4 linked regions of the Saccharomyces cerevisiae S288C genome follow. The protein of the gene in region 1 interacts with the protein of each later gene in a biochemical or structural test. Each region holds a gene or a part of one and is shown on either strand. Other genes may lie near its edges.

Evidence for each region.
Region 2: the proteins of SYF2 (region 1) and YJU2 form a complex in vitro, tested with the Saccharomyces cerevisiae proteins (one study listed by BioGRID).
Region 3: the proteins of SYF2 (region 1) and PRP22 form a complex in vitro, tested with the Saccharomyces cerevisiae proteins (one study listed by BioGRID).
Region 4: the proteins of SYF2 (region 1) and CEF1 form a complex in vitro, tested with the Saccharomyces cerevisiae proteins (one study listed by BioGRID).

The regions. Positions count from the first base shown.
Region 1 is NC_001139.9:748,314-752,080, reverse strand, and holds SYF2 (Syf2p), read right to left. Parts: upstream 1,682-3,767; coding exon 1,034-1,681; downstream 1-1,033. Other genes in the region: YGR130C (uncharacterized protein), read left to right, coding at 1-687; UTP8 (Utp8p), read left to right, coding at 1,990-3,767.
Region 2 is NC_001143.9:259,469-263,613, reverse strand, and holds YJU2 (mRNA splicing protein YJU2), read right to left. Parts: upstream 1,338-4,145; coding exon 501-1,337; downstream 1-500. Other genes in the region: YJU3 (acylglycerol lipase), read right to left, coding at 1-265; CWP1 (Cwp1p), read right to left, coding at 1,763-2,482; CWP2 (Cwp2p), read right to left, coding at 4,083-4,145. UniProt on the Saccharomyces cerevisiae protein: Part of the spliceosome which catalyzes two sequential transesterification reactions, first the excision of the non-coding intron from pre-mRNA and then the ligation of the coding exons to form the mature mRNA.
Region 3 is NC_001137.3:177,268-182,778, reverse strand, and holds PRP22 (DEAH-box ATP-dependent RNA helicase PRP22), read right to left. Parts: upstream 3,939-5,511; coding exon 501-3,938; downstream 1-500. Other genes in the region: HEM14 (oxygen-dependent protoporphyrinogen oxidase), read right to left, coding at 1-179; PRE1 (proteasome core particle subunit beta 4), read right to left, coding at 4,348-4,944.
Region 4 is NC_001145.3:690,720-695,653, reverse strand, and holds CEF1 (Cef1p), read right to left. Parts: upstream 2,274-4,934; coding exon 501-2,273; downstream 1-500. Other genes in the region: SCJ1 (Scj1p), read right to left, coding at 1-304; EFR3 (Efr3p), read left to right, coding at 2,611-4,934. UniProt on the Saccharomyces cerevisiae protein: Involved in pre-mRNA splicing and cell cycle control.

The sequences.
Region 1 (3,767 bases):
CTGGAAAAGAAAAAGGAGGATTTGGTTACCCAAACTGAAGAAAATAAGAAGCTGCATGAAAAAAATGTACAAGTTTTGGAAAGTGTAGAGAACAAGGAATATCTTCCACAAATTAATGATATTGATAATCAAATATCAAGCTTATTGAACGAAGTGACCATAATCAAGCAGGAAAACGCCAATGAAAAAACTCAACTATCGGCAATTACCAAAAGACTCGAAGATGAGCGCCGCGCTCATGAAGAACAGTTGAAGCTAGAAGCTGAAGAAAGAAAACGCAAAGAAGAGAACTTATTGGAAAAACAGCGCCAAGAGCTGGAGGAACAAGCGCATCAGGCTCAATTAGATCATGAGCAGCAAATTACTCAAGTCAAGCAAACCTATAATGACCAATTGACTGAACTACAGGATAAGCTGGCAACCGAAGAGAAAGAACTGGAGGCAGTCAAGAGGGAAAGAACGCGATTACAAGCTGAAAAGGCTATCGAGGAACAAACTCGCCAGAAAAACGCTGATGAGGCCTTGAAGCAAGAAATATTGAGTAGGCAGCACAAACAAGCTGAAGGTATACACGCGGCTGAAAACCACAAAATACCAAATGACCGTTCACAAAAGAATACGAGCGTCCTTCCAAAGGACGATTCCTTGTATGAATATCATACTGAGGAAGACGTCATGTATGCCTAAAAAAAATAATATTCCACTTTTGTTCAAGGAATATCCCACCTCTATTTTATTTTTCTCTTCTATTCTTTGTCGAGTATCATCAAGTTATCCTTTGATTATTTTCACCCTTCCTAATCTACCTCTCTTTGTAACCGTTTTATGTACCAATATTTACTCAATCAACAATTTATCAACCAGTTAGTTATTCTCTAGTGTTTCGTGCTCAAATAACCGAGTAAGATGGACTCTCTTCTGAAGCACTTTTGCGGGCATTTAACCTCAGCTCGTCACGTGACGGTCGATGAAAAATCCAGGGTATTAAAACTTTCCTTTGGTTATATCGGTATATTCTAAATAAAAGAGAAGCTTATTCTGATCCTTTTGATTCCCTGCTCAATTTTTCATTGAATTGTTTATTTTTGTCATTAATGAAGCTTTCAACCCCATACAGTGTTTTTGCATTTTGCATTTGTCTTTTTCTTGCTTCGTATCTTTTTTTCGACTCAGATTGCAAAGAAACGGCCAACTTATTAACTAGCTTGTCGTCATCTGCAATTGTTATCTTACCCGTCTTAGTGTCCTTCTGTACCTTGCCGATTCTACCCTTCTTGGGTACGTTTTTATTGTCTTCTTCATCGGCGGAACTATCCTGTTTGCTCGAATTCTGTGTTTGCGTAGCGAGATTCCGCAAGGTCTTCTCATAACTCAATTTTGCAAGTTGATCATAGGAAATTCCACCTCTTTGGCTTTGCCCAGTCTTCCCTTGAGGATGCCTACGTTCCCACGCATCATATTCTTGGACAGTGTAATGAAATGCTTTCTCTTTTTCAGGACTTTCTGTATCTCCTACTGATTCATCTGCATCATTTACGTCTTCCATACTGTATACTCTTGGTTTTCGATTTGCGCTTACTTCCTGAATCTCTCTGTCAGCCAACTTCCTACTCTTTATAGATACATCTACTCTTTTCCTTTTCAACTCCTTCAGCTTCTCGTCTAATTTGTAAAAATCCATTCTTCGAATACTTTGACAAGATATGGTTTTGCTTCGCTTACAGTTCAATAGAGAAGTCAAACATTGTCATTGAGAGCCCCTCATCGCAAATATTGCTCTTTTAAGGAAAATATAGTAATATTCTAGCTTTTTTGTCATTCTACACGGAAATGTCTGTATTTTTCAAATTTTTTCATTATGCTGTAGCAGATGCCTGAAAAATTTGAAAACTTTGATGAGATGAGGTCACTGTTAAATTTGTAATATTATATGTCACACCTAGCGCTCCTTGAACAGCAAATCATTCCGGAGGATAGTAAAGATTCAAAATGCCATCCCTGTCTCAACCATTTAGACTAGCAACTCTCCCAAAAATTGCTTCATTGAGCAATTTTTCTTTACAAGCAGATTACGTTCAAGTCGCAGATGGCACCTTTAATGAATCTACAAATAACATAACGTTAGGTATTTCCGGGTCATCTATATCTCAATATATTATTAATCCTACACCAAAGTTAACATTCGATTACCCAATACCCTCTACAAATATTATCACGGCATGCAATGCTGAGAAAGGTCAAGCGAACATTGACGGAAATATAGAAGCCAGTACCGATGATGAAGCCAACAACGAGAAGACTATCAACACCCAAAAAAAAAGAAATGTTGAAATTTGGGCCTTTGGTTTAATGGTAAATAAGGGTAATTATACGCTAAATGTTATCACTAAGGCACTGGAAGATACCACTGATACCTCAAATGACCATCTGAGTGAGAGTGATATTGACAATAAAGCATACACGGGTTCAGACGAATTTTTATCTCAGTATAAGATCAAGGCGAAAGCCAAAGTCATGAGTATTAAAATTGACACCAAGAACAGCTTAGTAATTGCAATTTTACAGAACGGGTTGATTGAAATTTTTGATTTTAAGTTAACACTTTTGCATTCATTTGATATATCTTATGATAACTTAAAATATGCTAAATGGTTCACTGAAAATGGAACTGAATATGTTTTTGTTCTCTGTCCATTACAGGATGATAAAGTCTGCTATAAATTGCTCGAGCTAACAGATTGTGGCAGTGGAGAAAGTTCGCCCATAAAAGAATTATCATCTACTATCATCGAAGGATTTTCTTTTGAAAATTCAAAGCTTTGTTATCAATTTGGAAAACTTTACAAATTGAACCAGGGGAAAATATACATTTACTCTTTACCACATTGCCAATTGCAACAAGTTATTGAATTTCCGATGGTGGATAAACTCAGTCCTGGAGATGACTTAATCTCTTTCCAACCTGTTTCAGTAAACAGAGTTCTACTGACCGTAAACAACGTCATTTATCTACTAGACTTACTGCATTGTTCTACTTTAAGCCAAAGAGAATTAACTCACGTGAAAACATTCCAACTATTAAAATCTGCAGTGATCAATTCAGAAAAGTCGCATAATTCAAAAACAATAGCAATTGGTATTTCAACGAAAAATGGACCAAACCCAACGTCTTCCTTAGAAATAATTAATATTGATGTTGGAACTAATACGTTGAAGGACTCATTAGGCAAGAGTTTTCAAGTTGGAAATAATGATAGCTCAGTTATTTTAAAGCCGCTATTTGATGATAAAGACATAAATGACAAGAGAGTGAAATGTAACGACGTCAGCGGGGATTCAAGCGTTCCAGTCCTCCACTGTAATGAAGTTATTGAAAAGCTTTCAGCCCTTCAAGATAATGACATTACATCATTTGATGACATATTTTTCAAAGAACTAAAAATCAAAGAAGAACATTATACTGAAAAAGATAGATATATTTCTGATCCTGGCTTTTTGAATAAAGTTTTAGATCTAATTTTCGGAAAGTTTAGCGGAAATGATTATCCAAAAACTTTAACGTTTTTATTGACACACCCATTGTTTCCATTGAGTCGTACACGCAACTTGCTATCCTTACTAAGAGACCAACCTAGATTATTTAAACAAGCAATTGTAACATGCCCAAACTTGCCATTAAATGAACTACTTGAAGAATTGTTTTCTATCAGAAACAGGGAACTATTACTTGATATCTCATTTAGGATTTTGCAGGATTTCACCAGAGA
Region 2 (4,145 bases), on another chromosome or scaffold:
CACCTTTCGATCTGCCCGGCGATGTAACACCAGCACCCCTTTGATCAAACGTAAATGACTCGTAACCATTGAGTGATAAGTGGTCCATAAGCCGGAATTGAATCTTTGTGTACTCGCCAAACCCATGAATCAGTAAAACTCTACCTCTGACCTCATTGGTGCCATTTTGAACAGGCCAGAACATGTACCCGAACTTAGCACCATCAAAGTTTTCGTATTGAAGTTCAGGTACTGTCGTCTGCACTTTGTATGGATACGGAGCCATGCTTTTCTATTTGTCCTCGGTTTGTGTGGCTTTGGCTTGCTTTAGTCAACAATGGCTTTTCCGATATGTATTCATTTATAAGAAAATTCAATGAAAAAACGGCCAGACACTTCGAAGTCCGAAGGGGCTGTCGCCCCTCGTAAGTAGCGATGGACGCTATAGTGTGGAAGCAACCACAGTAGCACAGCATCACAAGAGATCATGATACCAATCGTACGTTCCTTACTTTTCTAGGTCATTTGAGAGACTTTCCTCGTTTTATAACTATCCCTAACGGATTCGTACGCACAGAGCTTTTCTTCTGTATTTTTCCCTTAGTGGATGTAGGATTAAACAACGGAGTTCTCTTCTCATCGTTGTTATTGCCAGGTTTATTGGTACGCTGCCTGTGATTGTCAAATACCTGATCTACGAGGTTGTCCAGATCATCAGTCGTTACTGCTTTTTCTTGTTGTGCGTGTTTGCTGCGGTTTATCATTTCAGCTCTCTGGCTCATTTCAAGGTTTTTTTTCCTTAAATTTTCAAGTTCCTCATCATCCTCTTGCTCTTGTTGAATTTTGGCTAGTCTTTTTTCCAGCAAATCCATTTTGTCATCTGCTTGCTCCTTTATACCCATCTTCTCGTTCTGCTCCATTTCCTTCTCTCTCACTAAGCGTTGCAGTGTCTCGTCTATGCTTTCGACAGCTGTTTTAGCGTTCAGGTCATCATTTGGTTTCTGAGGGACATAGTTTCTTACGCCCCCCACTTCCATTACATAATCTGAATTACCGGGGTCTGTTCTAAATGCAATGGAATTGGCACAACGTGGACATGAAATGGTTAGTCTATATATCTTAATGGAGTCCAGGTACTTCTCCTTCAGTAGCTCTTTCTTACCATTGAATTTTCTGCTTTTGGGAATATATTCGTTACATTCCAAACACCTCATACTAAATGGGGTCATTAATCTAATCGATGCGTGGCTCTTATTCATGGTTTTCAGTTTTTTAGCCATTTTCCTGGATAGCTTTTCAGCTTCCAGTGGGTTGTAATCCGGTGGATAGTACTTGTTAATAGCTTTTCTTTCAGACATTCTTGTATTCTCCTATCAGCCTGGAAACGGTTAATTTGGTTTGACTTATTAGTTCGTTCTACTGAGGTCACCGTAGTGATTTCTTGCTTTTTTTCGAATATGTACAATAAATAACAACTCTATGCGTATTAGCAGTCAGTGGAACAAACTTGAGATAGCTACTCTTATCTCCTTTTCTGTATATCCATCTTTCTACATGCAGCAGAGAAACCGCCGGCGGGACATTCACCTACTTTTCTACAAGTTTAAATTTTTCAAGCGAATCGGGGAATGTGAGAGCTGCATGCAAGAAAAGGAATGTAGGTAGGAGGACAATGTAAGAGAATATTATGGGCCATTTCATATTACATTACGCTATATGTAAGTGATCATTATGTAGAAAGCTATATTGAAGGAAATAAAACATGCAGGTTTTGTTCTCGTACTTACAACAAGTAAGCAGCTGCGACCGCTAGAGCACCAGCACCCATGCCGACGGCAGCCTTGGCACCTGCATTTTCTGTTTGTTCGTAAACTGTGTTTGGAGCTTGGATTTGTCCATCAGTAATTTGAGAGATAACTGAAGCAGTTGGGGAGCTAGCAGAGGAAGTTTCCACAGTAGTAGAGGTCTCGACAGATTCTATACTCGAACTATGCTTTGTAGAAGATGATGCGGAAGCAGACGAAGCAGAAGCAGATGAAGAGGAACTAGAGTCGCTTGGAGAAAAATCTGCTGCAACAGATCCGCTCTTACTAGTTGGTCTAATCGCAACACCGGTAGCGTCGTCGGATTGCTTAGAAGAGAAAATGTAAGACGACCCGTCCTTGATAGCGTAGAAACCAGAAGAGCTCTTGTAGTTTAGATGGCCATCTTTAATAGAAAAACCAGTGGCAGCATCGCTCTCAGAACCTTCTTTGAATGAGCCATCCTCATTGACAACAGCATACTTATCGTCGTCAAATTTCAGTTTACCGTCATCGGTAATAGTTGCCTCAAATGAGCCACTACCGCTGCCAAGTTTCAAAGTGCCGTTATCACTGTAAACACTCAAGTATTGTAAATCCGAGCCGGAACGGATACTCACCAGGCCGAATTCTTCGGAATCGGCAATGACCATCTTAGCCAAGGCGAATAAAGCGACAGACAAAGCAGTGGAGAATTTCATTATTGTTTTTTGAGACTTTCGTAGTATTTATTAGTTTGTTACGGGATATTTTACTTCAGACAGAAAAAAAATTCAAGGAAGATAGCGAAAGAAAGAAACGTTAAGATCGTCCTTTAAATAATTGAGATTTTGTTTGTTTGCTTTTTTTTTTTCTGCACCACAAATTATCAAAATTAAAAGGTGAAAAAACACTACATTGAACGTGAACCACAGAGCTTATTGTTTGTTGTTTTTTTTGTTTTCTTTTGTGGCACCTTCGAGATGGCTCTCCTGGAGTAAGTTACCGTTGTGGGACAACCCGCACGCACAGACGTAAGCGGACCCGTATTCCAATCGGGCCGAAGGGCCCTTTTCGTTCAGGGAGCTGTGGCTAACGCTATTTTTAGTTATGACGTACGGTGCGGCACCATCTATAACGCGAAGAAGTACTTTTTTTAGCTCTCTTTTTTTGTTTTCGCGGGAGGGGTTTGTTTATTATGATATTTTAACGGGATAGAAGGTCGAGCACACAATGTTTGCCGTCAAGAGGGGTATCTGCTTCTATATTCGTAACTTTCCAGATGTCCGATTTTTTTTTTCATTATTACCTCGAGCTACGATTCGGTACACATACATTCTTATTTTGAAACTTGTTCACCATATCTTTGCAAAAATTAATGAGATTCCAATGTTATGTATGGGTGAAGTATAAGACGTGGTTGCAGCATCCCTTAGTATTTGTCTAGTGGGGTTCTTCACTACTTACTCTTGAAGCATAAAAAAGAAAACAAGGCTAGCTCTAAAGCATCGTAGATGAATCTCATTAAGAAAATTCAGCATGTGCGAAGGAAGGTACAGTTTTAAAGTCGCATCAATGCCCATAATAAAGGGATTAATGGCACTGTGCTAAAATGTGCCAGGTCATGAAAATTTCATAGCGCATTGGCAAGCGACTTTAGCGCGCGCCAACGTGATATTTCTTGTAAGTTCAAATCCATCCGAGGGGCAATTGTAGTGAGGACAAAAGTTCATTGAGTTCTAGATTATTATTTTGTCACACGTCTCCCTTGAATTTGTAAAATATTTTATAAGTGGAAGTAAAGTATAGAAAATGGCAGAAAAAAAAGATCCCACCGTAGCACACCAATATCTTTCCCACTTTCTTTTGAACAGGTAACAGATAACGAAGATGGTAAAAAGATAAAGGGAAGAACGGTCAGCACTTTCGCCTATGTTTTTCACGCCTTGACTCTTTAATCGCAGCTAAGGGCGAAATTCTTTATGCACACTGGTCTGTTGAAACAAGCATGCATGTTTTTTTCACCTTAGGGGCGCAGGAAACATTGTGCATAGCCAAGATCTCAGCAAACTCGAAGAAACCCAGTCTCTAATACATTCATTTCGAGTTCAAATTTTTGACTCATTCGAAGAGAAATCACAGGAACATCGTTAAAGTAAAAAGTGTTTTATTTTTATGGTATCTACCTATTCAAAATAACAAAAATTATTTAAAATTATGTGTAAAAATATATTAACGAAAAGAAAAGAATCAAACACTTACCTAGTAAAACCGAAAATTTTGAAAAAAGCCATATAGATATTATAAAAAATCAGAGATTTCTTATAACAACATAGCAGCAGCAGCTAGAGCACCGGCACCCATACCGACAGCGGCCTTAGCAGC
Region 3 (5,511 bases), on another chromosome or scaffold:
ATATCTCTTGTGTTACAAGAATATATCCAACCCCCAGTTCTGTTCTGCGATTCGAACAGTGTGATTTCAACATCCGGTCTCAACTTGCTTAAAAAATAAGTAAAACATAGTCCAGAAACGCCACCCCCTACAACAGCAACTTTTGCTCTCGGTTTTAGCTTTGTTAATGGTAATAACATTATACAAGCTCTTTTTGGCGTTCTCAATTGCACTTTACTCGATATGTTTGAATTGGTGTTCTTCGCGAATATCTCTATTGTTCTCTCTATTATACTATTTCTTTTTTTGAATACTCCGCGACTCCGAAGCAACAAAGTGTCGAAGGCAAGTTCAAAGGCGTTTTGTAACTAAACGAGCAATGGCAGCTTTCAATTAAAGAAAGGTTAGCGTTACTCTGTGATTTTTTTCATGTAAAAATTCTCAAGAGAGATAAAGTTGTTAAAAAATTAAATATAGGTCTATAAAACTCGATAATTATAATGCATAAAAAGCTAACAATGTTACCTCTTGATACCTAATGCCCTTTCCCTTGACTGCCTTATTGAGCTTAGTCTCCATGAATTTTGATCCTTGGCAAACTTGTTATGCAAAGGAATGATTTTCGCTTTCTTCCTAGACTGGCTTTCAGCATCTCCAGCTTTATAAAAATGAGGCGCTACTTCGAGAAGCCATTGGGGCTCAATGGATGTTACCTGCGACATGTATTCCCGGCTAGTTAATACGATACTATGATACATTACGTATTCATACTCTTTTCCGTACAATGAACTCGAGGGATGTATTCCAACCTCTGTACCACCATTGATGGTTTTATAACCTACCTGTGAGTCTCGCTTAGCAGCGTTCATGAAGAACCCTGACACGAAAGTTTTACGAATTAAATCAGGATCACTATGACAGCTTATTAACTTTAAGCCTATCTTTTTAAATATCATGCTAATTTGGCTTTTAACATCTCTTGCTCTTTTCAAATGTCTAAAATGCAGAAAGTTTGTTTTGCAATACTGCTCCGAGTAATTTGCCTGCTGCCATCTAGTATAAACGTTCAATAATGTTAAATGGTCACCGTATGGATGATGAAACTTTGCCTTCTTGCTATCTGCTTCCAATTGCCTATCTTTTGGACGATAAAAAACGTTCTGTACTGACAACATTGAGATTATAGTAACAATTTCATCCGAGCACTGATTATCAACAGATGACAATAAAGAGCGTGATAGAGTGGGATCCATTGGAAATAAGGACATCTCTTTACCTAAATTTGTTAGTTTTCCCTCGTCATCTAGTGACTGCAGGTGGTATAATTCTGTCAGTGCGTTAAGCATTAAATTTTTGGGAGGGGGATCCATGAAGTCAAATTTCAATAAATCATTAATTCCCATGGCCTTTAGCATCAAAATAGTATGAGAAAGATTCTGCCTTTGAATTTCTGGAACCGTGTTTTCTAACATTTCATTGTAAAATGCGGATTCTGTATAAAGTCGATAGCATTTTCCAGGGCCTGTTCTTCCAGCTCTACCTTTTCTTTGATTTGCCTGTGCCTGAGAGATTGGAGACACTATCAACTGCTCGATACCTGCTCTTGCATTATAAATGTTGATTTTTGCAAATCCAGGGTCCACGACATAATAAATTCCATCAATAGTGATTGAAGTTTCCGCAATATTTGTGGCAAATACGACTTTTCGACTGCCCTTTGGAGTGGGTTCAAAAATTTTCGATTGGATTTCACTTGGCAAAGCAGAATAAACGGGCAAAATCAGTAATTCGCCGATGCTGTCACCTAAAGTTTTCACCCTATCATATAAAATTTCACAGCATGAGTCTATTTCTTCCTGTCCAGTCAAAAAGACTAAAATATCGCCTGGGCCTTCATTAATATGGATGTCTATTACACAATCCAAAGCTGCCTCTATGTAATCCATTTGGGGCGTCTGTGAGTAGAGTACTTCCACGGGAAAAGTTTTACCAGGTATATTGATAATCGGACAATTTAAAAAGTACTCAGAAAATTTAGCAGAGTTCAAAGTAGCCGATGTAACTATTACTTTTAATTCTGGCCTTTTAATAGCCGCTTTCTTTAACAACGCAAATAAAACATCAGTTGCCACAGTTCTTTCGTGAGCTTCATCTAACATGATAACTGAATATTTTGACATCTCGGGATCTAACAACGCCTCTCTCTGTAACATACCATCAGTCATATATTTTATTCTGGTATCTGGGCCAGTAACATCTTCAAATCTAATGGTATAGCCAACGTCATGGCCAACTTTGCAGCCAACTTCTTCAGCCACTCTTTTAGCAACGGATACAGCGGCAACCCTACGAGGTTGGGTACATCCGATCATCCCATAGTTACTAAACCCTTCTTCATCTAAATACTGAGTAATTTGAGTGGTTTTACCCGAACCTGTCTCACCAACAATGACCAGAAATTGATTGTCACGCACAGCCTGTATCAATTCAGACCTCATCGCGTATACAGGCAAAGTTTGACGCTGTGCACTGATTGGTAAGGAAGTTCTTTTGCCATACGAGATAGATTCATTCATTCTATTTTTTTCCCATTCAGTAACAATCAGCTGGTTTTTCAACATTTGAATTTCGTTCCTGGAATCTTTTTTGTTTTTCGTAGGATCATCAAACGACTGTTGTTTCCTAATCTGTTGTTCAATCTCTCTTTTTTTCCTTAACTTTTCTTCTCTATGATCTCGTATTGCATTAGAGCCGTTGATTGCTGAACGATTCATAAATCCTCTCGGGACTTTTGTAATTTTAGGCATTTCATATTTCTTGGCCCCCTTGACTTGCTGATCCTTTAAAAATTTGGGCCCATCATCTGTATTCAGCTCGACATCAATTTCATCCGTCTCGTCTCGTTGTTGTTCTTCCAATTTTGAGTCCACTTTCTCTGTATTACCGTTAACGATACTGCCGTCATCTCTTTTCGCGGTCAAATAGGAAGTATTTATGGGTATTTCATCCTTCAATTCAGGATAGTCATCGATGGAAGCAGCACCGCTGGCAATTAGTTGGCGAATTTCCCATCTTTCTGGTGAAGTCAAAGCACGCCTTTTAATTTTGTTTTTCATATTTCTGCTTGTATGAGCATCGTTGGACCTACCTCTATCTTCGACACTTTCAGTATTTCTTTTCCGGATTTCTCCACTATGTTGATCAATATTTTTCATGGAGAGCGATATTTTTCCATTATTTTGTATTTTTATCACTTCGACAAAGATATGTTGGCCTTGTCTCACCACATCATGTGGATCTAATGTTCTTTGGTCTGACATTTCTGAAATATGAACTAAGCCATCACAATTCTTCATTCGCGTCCCAAAAATTTGGACGAAACACCCAAAAGTAGTTATGTTTCTCACTTTACCTTCATAAACTTTGTGAAGGACAGGGCTGGGGTCTAAACTTTCTATTTTTTGTACCTCTTCTTCAATCTTTGCTTCTATCTTTGCTGGTATCTTGGTGCTTGGAAGAACTGAGACTTCTTCTTTCATTACTGGTGGTGATGCAATTTGATATATCTTGAAAATTGTTTCATTATCGAGTCCGCTTTGCATCAAGTTCAGTTGTTCCTGGAACTCAGTTATTGATTTAGATTTATTCAAAATGCTCAGGACGAATTCAGTCACAACAGGGTCGTCCAAATTAACGTCATCTTTCAGTACCTGATTAATTTTTTGACTTAACGGTGAACTTTTAACTTTATTTCGTACCTTTTCTTCTTCCTGCTTTCCTAAAAATGCATTATACATCTTAATACTGTCTTCGTAGGATATACCGGCATCCAATTTTTGAATATTTCGTATAAACTCTTGTAAATTGCCGGATTTATTTATGATATTCAGCACAAATTCAATGATAACGGGGTCATCAGATCCCACAATAGCTCCTATGAGTTTCGATATATCAGACATCTCTAATATCTTTGTGTTACCTATGTTGAAAATTAGCTTCGTAGTGCGAAATATAGCGCATTAACAACATGAGATGACAGCATTTGAACAAGTAATAAACCATCTCAAAAGTACTATCGTAGCCCTACATTGCTTCTTCAAAATATTCTCATGCGGGTAACATAATTACAACTTTTCGAATTGGTTATAACGAAGCGGTATCAGCATTGATTGGGATTCATTTGCAATAGATCAGATGATATCTCACTCTGCCAACAAAAAATGAGAAATTGTCTTATTTCTGATACATTTGCTATTATAACGGATGAAAAAACTATAATAACTTTATTTAATTTTATGAACGAGGAAGATAATTACTTTAGTATATCATTAGCAATCACCTTTTCCGTGTGATTACACTGAATATCTTTCACTGTGCCTGGAAGTCATCTACTTGTCTTATGCCATCTTTATCCACGATTTTAACAATGACGCCCTTGAAGTCCATTGGCATTCTTTTTTCAAGCTCTTGTACACATAGTTTTAATAAATCTAAACCCTCCTCAGTAGTCATATCAGGTCTATAATGATGATCTAGTAAAGAGAATGTGTAAAACCCCGAGTAACCATGAGCACCATAGGGTAATTCGACTTTAGTACCCAAGTAGTCAATTTGATATAGTTCCGGTTTGTTCTTCTTTTTGTCATAGCCTCCAATCAATACGTTGACTTGGTATGGTCTTCTCGACCTAATTGACTTGGCTAATTCTTGCCTAACAAAACTAGATACTGCTTGTGGAGAGAGCTCATAATCTTCTCTAATGGAGTATAATTGGATATTGGCTTGAATGTACTCGGCGAATTGAACGGTGTCACCAGCTTCACCGGCAAAACTCATCAATGTATGTGGCGATAATTGTCTCGTTTTATCATCAGAATCTTTTAAAACAGAAATACCTCTTGTGACTGCCTTAGAAGACGCTAGAATGACAGAATCCTGTACACGGATGCCCAGAATAATATCCATTTCTTAATATATCTTTCTTAGTATTGTATATGAACCTATTTAAAAGACGTGCCCGAAGTTTGTTCTTTTTTATTCGATTGACAGGTGCTCCCTTTTCTTGTAATTGGTGTTCAATATTCACTTTTCTTTATTTTTTGCCACCGTAAAGATTTCGCTGCGAAAGATGCCCCGGCCTAGATGTAGATGACGGAGCTTTGCTGATGCAGTAATACGCATTGATATTTGAGAGGCGTCGATAGTATCATAGAGAACCTGTCAAAAGGAATTCACCGCATGGTTTTCATAAGAGATTGCGTTATGAACAGTTTTCACTACGTTAATGAGCCTCGTTCGAATGTAAATCAGAGGACTTGTGGGCAGGAAAGTTATAATTATCTCTTCAATGAACCTAAAGAAATTACATGTTCAAGACTCGGTGTTAATTTATTTTAACTACGCCGCCTGTCTGAGTCCTTATAACGTGTAGGAATGGTAAAAACGATGGAGTGCAGAGCCTTCCTACTTTTTCGCTAAAAGACTAAAAGAAGGTGGTGTTATGTTGCTGTGCGCTTCTCGGATAGTCAGAAC
Region 4 (4,934 bases), on another chromosome or scaffold:
CTGGACCGCCACCGCCACCGCCATTCTTTACAGCATCTGCACCAAACTGGTCATAAATCTTTTTCTTTTCAGGATCGCTCAATACATCGTATGCCTCGCCGACTTCAATGAATTTTTGATGGGCTTCTTCGCTCCCAGCATTTTTATCCGGATGGTACTTCTTAGACAATTGTCTGTACGCTGATTTGATTTCCTTCTCAGTGGCATCTTTGTCTATCTCTAGTATTGCATAATAATCCTGCGCCAAAATTAGCGGCAACAACAATAAAGATAGTATCAAATGTATATATAATTTTGGAATCATTGTCCTCGATCTTTTCGCCAGCCAATGCACGCTCTTCTGGCCTATCCACCATGTTTTGTCAGTACTACATCTTATTACCATCGCTGGTTTGCCGATGTGGCCAACTTGGCAAGAAAACGTTCTAACTCCGGGTAATGCGTTGTCACAAGTCCTCTATGTCCTAGTTCATAAAAGTTATATTAATGCTATACTAATGCTATATGGAAGAAGAAGAATTTAGCATGGCTTGAAGACGCTTTCTACGACCCTCAAGCGATCGTATCTCTTGTCGGTAGGCGTAGTAATCAGCGTAGTACTTGCGTTGCCCTTCAATCAAAGCGGGCAGGCTGTGATGGCAGAGGGTACTGCACATCTCGTTATTCTGTTGTTCCAGTGGTTGCACATGTTGTAGTTTACGCTGTAACTGTTCAATAGACTCCACTTTTGATTGGATCGATTCCAGAAGAACCTCAGTTGGGGGCATTGCTGTTTTGAATTGTATTTTCATGGAAGTGCGCCCTTGGGTTATATGCTGCATACGCGACTCCACCTCTTTGAGAAAATCTACCGTATCTTCTGGTACCATGTGAGGTTCTTTGTTTATGGCGTTCGCGACTAGCAAGTTGTACTTATTGTCAATCGCGGACTGCGGATTGTTTTTGAATTCTGGTATGGGTAGCGTTGAGTAAGCTAATGGAACGGCTACTAATGAGACGCGTGGCGCATCATTTTGAGATGGTGGTTCTATGAAGTTGTCCTCTTCATTCATCGCTCTTTCATTTTCAAATTCTTTCTCGTATTCCGCTATCTCTGCATCTTCTTCTTTCTCGTCTTCACTTAATACAATTTCGAAATCGTTCTTGGGACTAGGCAAAGATGCGAACATTTGCACTAAAAATTTTCGTATGCGTGATTTTAGCTGTTTACCACTCTTTATATTACTGCGTTCATTATCTTCTTGGCCGGAGTCGTGGGGTAGTAGTTCTTTTGGTGTCAACACAGTGCCAGTTGCTTGTGCCTCGATTAGTTTTTGTCTTTTGCTTTCTAGCTTTTTTTTATAGGTGACTTTTCCCTGTTTCGTTCCTGGTGCAGATAGTATAAGTTTTGGTTTTTTATACTCATCCGTCAATGTAGTAGATTCACCCAGTGCTGCTTTCTCAACGTGTTCGTTCTCATCGTGTTTTCTTTTTTTGTCCTTATTTTTTTTACTTGGCTTATCCTTATTACCATCCAAACCTTTTCTGTTGACTTTTCTCTCAAACTGCTCAAACTTCTTTTTTATCTGGCGGTCTTCAGTGGACGTGTCATATATACCTGGCATGGGAGCTTGTTCATATACTATATCTTCATTGTAATCAATGTCGGTGCCGTATTTTTTTTTCGGTTTCTTAATGGCAACATTAATTCCTGCTTGCTTTAGCTCACGCCTCTTTTGTAGTTCAGCAATGCGTTTTGATTCTTCGAGCATCCGCTCTCTAATCTTTCTTGTAGCCTTCTTACCTTGGGTATTTAACAGACGAGCCCTAGCTTCAGCAAGCATTTCCTTTTCCTCATCTTCCAAATCACCATTATCTGGTCTAGCCATTTGAGTTTCAGCGTTAGGATTAATATCCCCGGCTTTCAAGTCAGTAACTCCTGTACTTAACGCAGCCCCTCCACTGTCTTCACTTTCTAATAGCCTATTATATCTTTCGACGCAGACCTGTGCAGGCCTGGCCATCATATCAGCTATGGTCCTCCACTGATTAGGCAGCTCTCTTGCAAGATCTAGAAGTTGGGCATCCTCCTCCTTCGAGAACTCTGTAAAATTCAACTTTGGATTTAAATATTCATTCCACCTTAATTCACTCTGCCTGGCAGTCTTTTTCTGCAAAAGGGATGCTACTTTGCTCCACTGATGAGTTCCGTATTTTTGTACAGCCGCTTTAAGAATCTGATCCTCCACATTGGTCCATACACCGCCTTTCACGTATATTGGTACGGGGGGCATCTTGAAATGCTAGTATAGTCCTCTTAGAAATGTTTTGCTTTTTTTCTTTACTATCTTCCTGAGTCGCATATGCTTTTTTGTCATAATAGTTCATAGCATTAATTTTTCATTAAACTTCAACCCCGGCCAAAGGAAGAGGAAGAAAATTTTGTTCGAACTACTAGGAAGGTAATGGTTTTGTTGAAAAAGCCAGGCAGCCAGGATAAATTGAAAGTATTGTGAGCAACCCCGCTATTGGAGTAGTATTAATTCAGTGGCAGACTGTATATTGAACCCAGATCATTCGCTCTATTATTCATCTTTCGTTCATTTTCAATTGTTCTGAAAGTGGTTTGCGATGCAGTTGTCTATGCGGATGATGTTCACACCAAAACATCAGAAACTGGTCAATCAATGTTATCCTACGGGAAGGACCACAGATAAGAAGCCTAAATCTTCGGAAACTTCATATTTGCTATATTACGTTAACTCGAGGCGTAGTAAATTGGAGAAAGTTAGCACTTACCTGATTAAGCGTTCCACTTCCGACTTGAACCATCGGCGCATAGGGAACATAGCCGTTACATTGGATTTAATGAACAAAATTGTGTTGCATTGTAAGGAGAATTTGAATGTATTTGTTAAAGATTTTTTGTACATTATGAACAAAGTTCTTTCCAACAACAATTTTAACAATGATGTATCTGTTGTTGAATTAATAGAACTGGCATTTAGTAGTATATGCCAGAACTTGGACGACGTCTTGTGTAACGGTGACATGGAATTCGTCCAGTTATACCAGAACTTTGTTGATCTTTTTTTTAAAATAGTTACTGAAAGAATTCATAATGATGACATGCTTCTGAAATGCTGTATTGATATATCAAACACAAATAGTGTTTCAAGCAACCCACAACTAAACCACTTTGTTTCCAAGTCTGTTGCCTATACTATTTCAAAGTTCCAAGAGAGAAATCCGAAATTTAAAACTTTGTCGCTGGAAGCAGCTCTGGAGAGCAATTTAGGAAAAAGGCTAAGTCGAACACAAACTCGTACAATTGGGTTAGATAAGGCCGCCGAAGATAATCATGACCTTTCAGTAAAAGCATTGCAATCCTATTTTAACACAACTGAGACAGACAAATTGAATTTGTCTATTCGTACTCTGTTGCGCTGTCTGCAAAGTACACCTAATAAGGAACTGCTAGAGTTTGTATGCAATGGTATACCTGTTCAGTTACGATATATTGTTATACTTCTTTTGGTCAGACAACTAAGCGACAAGGATAAAAATGTAAATCCAATTGTTTCCTTGAAATTGATGTCGTCATTACTTGTTTCAGATGTCAGTATAGTGGGGTTGAGTGTTCTTGATATAATGAGAAAGCTTTTAAATTTCCAGTTGAAAAATGCAACTAATAAAGAAGTTGTGGCACAGTCTTGTATCACCATGACAGACCTTAACCATAAAACTTATTACGCTGAACAGACCTCAGATATGTTATATGAACTACTATTGAAATTGAAAAGTGACACCGTCAAGGATGTTGAAAAGAATGCAGTTGTGGAAGATATTGATTTCCTCGTTGAACATATTACGCAGCCAAGTATCAGTTTGGAATTATTCATCGACTTGGCGCATTACATGAAAAACCACATTATATGTTTATTTAACATTGTTGAAACTGAGGTTCCAAGCAGCATTCTCTTTTCAAAACTGTACTCATTATTACGTGAACTGGATTCACATGGTGTGCAAAAAGAAATGATGGAAGAGATCTTTGACAAGTATGGAAAAATGGCACTATTATCCGGTTTGAATTATTTTCTAGAGAACGTTTCTGAGCCTGAGTATACCTATTATTCGTACCATTTACAAGCAGCTAACTTTTTAAAACTCAATGACTACAAGTCACAAACTGAGTACAAAATGCAAACTAGAACTTTGTTTACCAAGGAAGATTTATTGTCATACTATTCTGATACTGGATCAAATAAATACAGCAAGAAGGGGGCGCAGATTTTATTGTCTCGTGATAATCAAATTTCTACTTCTGATTTACTGTCGGACTCTCAAGTTCGTACTACACCTCTGGAGTACAAGAATGTCCCTAATGCTATTTTTTCAAATGGGAAAGCAGTGTATGATAACAACGATTTTGCGGCCAAGCAAAATAAATTCGACAACAGCATAGATGACAATATAGAAGAAGCTAACGATACTGTAATTTCTGATGCTAATGCAAAAGGTAGTATCTATAGGTTTGTTGCTGAGGACGCAAGATCATGGAAAACAATGAGAGCCACCGCACCAAAAGTTAGCGATTTGAAAAAAACTATGAATGAAAAGAATATTCCAAATAATATGAAAAGAGATGGCTCTTTTCGGGGTTCTCAATCAGTGAAATCTCGTGTCACTAATATCACATTTTTATTAAATGAATTGAAAACTTTTTCAGATGACGCGAATAAAATCAAAGATCCTGATGAGGAGAATATTGTTGGCTTGGATAAAATCGACGTTGCTAGATCAAATTCTCTGCGACTTGCACCAATATCTAGTCTTTCTGATCGCAGTAGCATTGGAAATAGAAAATCCTTTTTGCAAAAAACAGCAACTGGTGAAAATCAAAACGATGACTTTAAAGACGCAAATGAAGATTTACATTCTTTAAGTTCAAG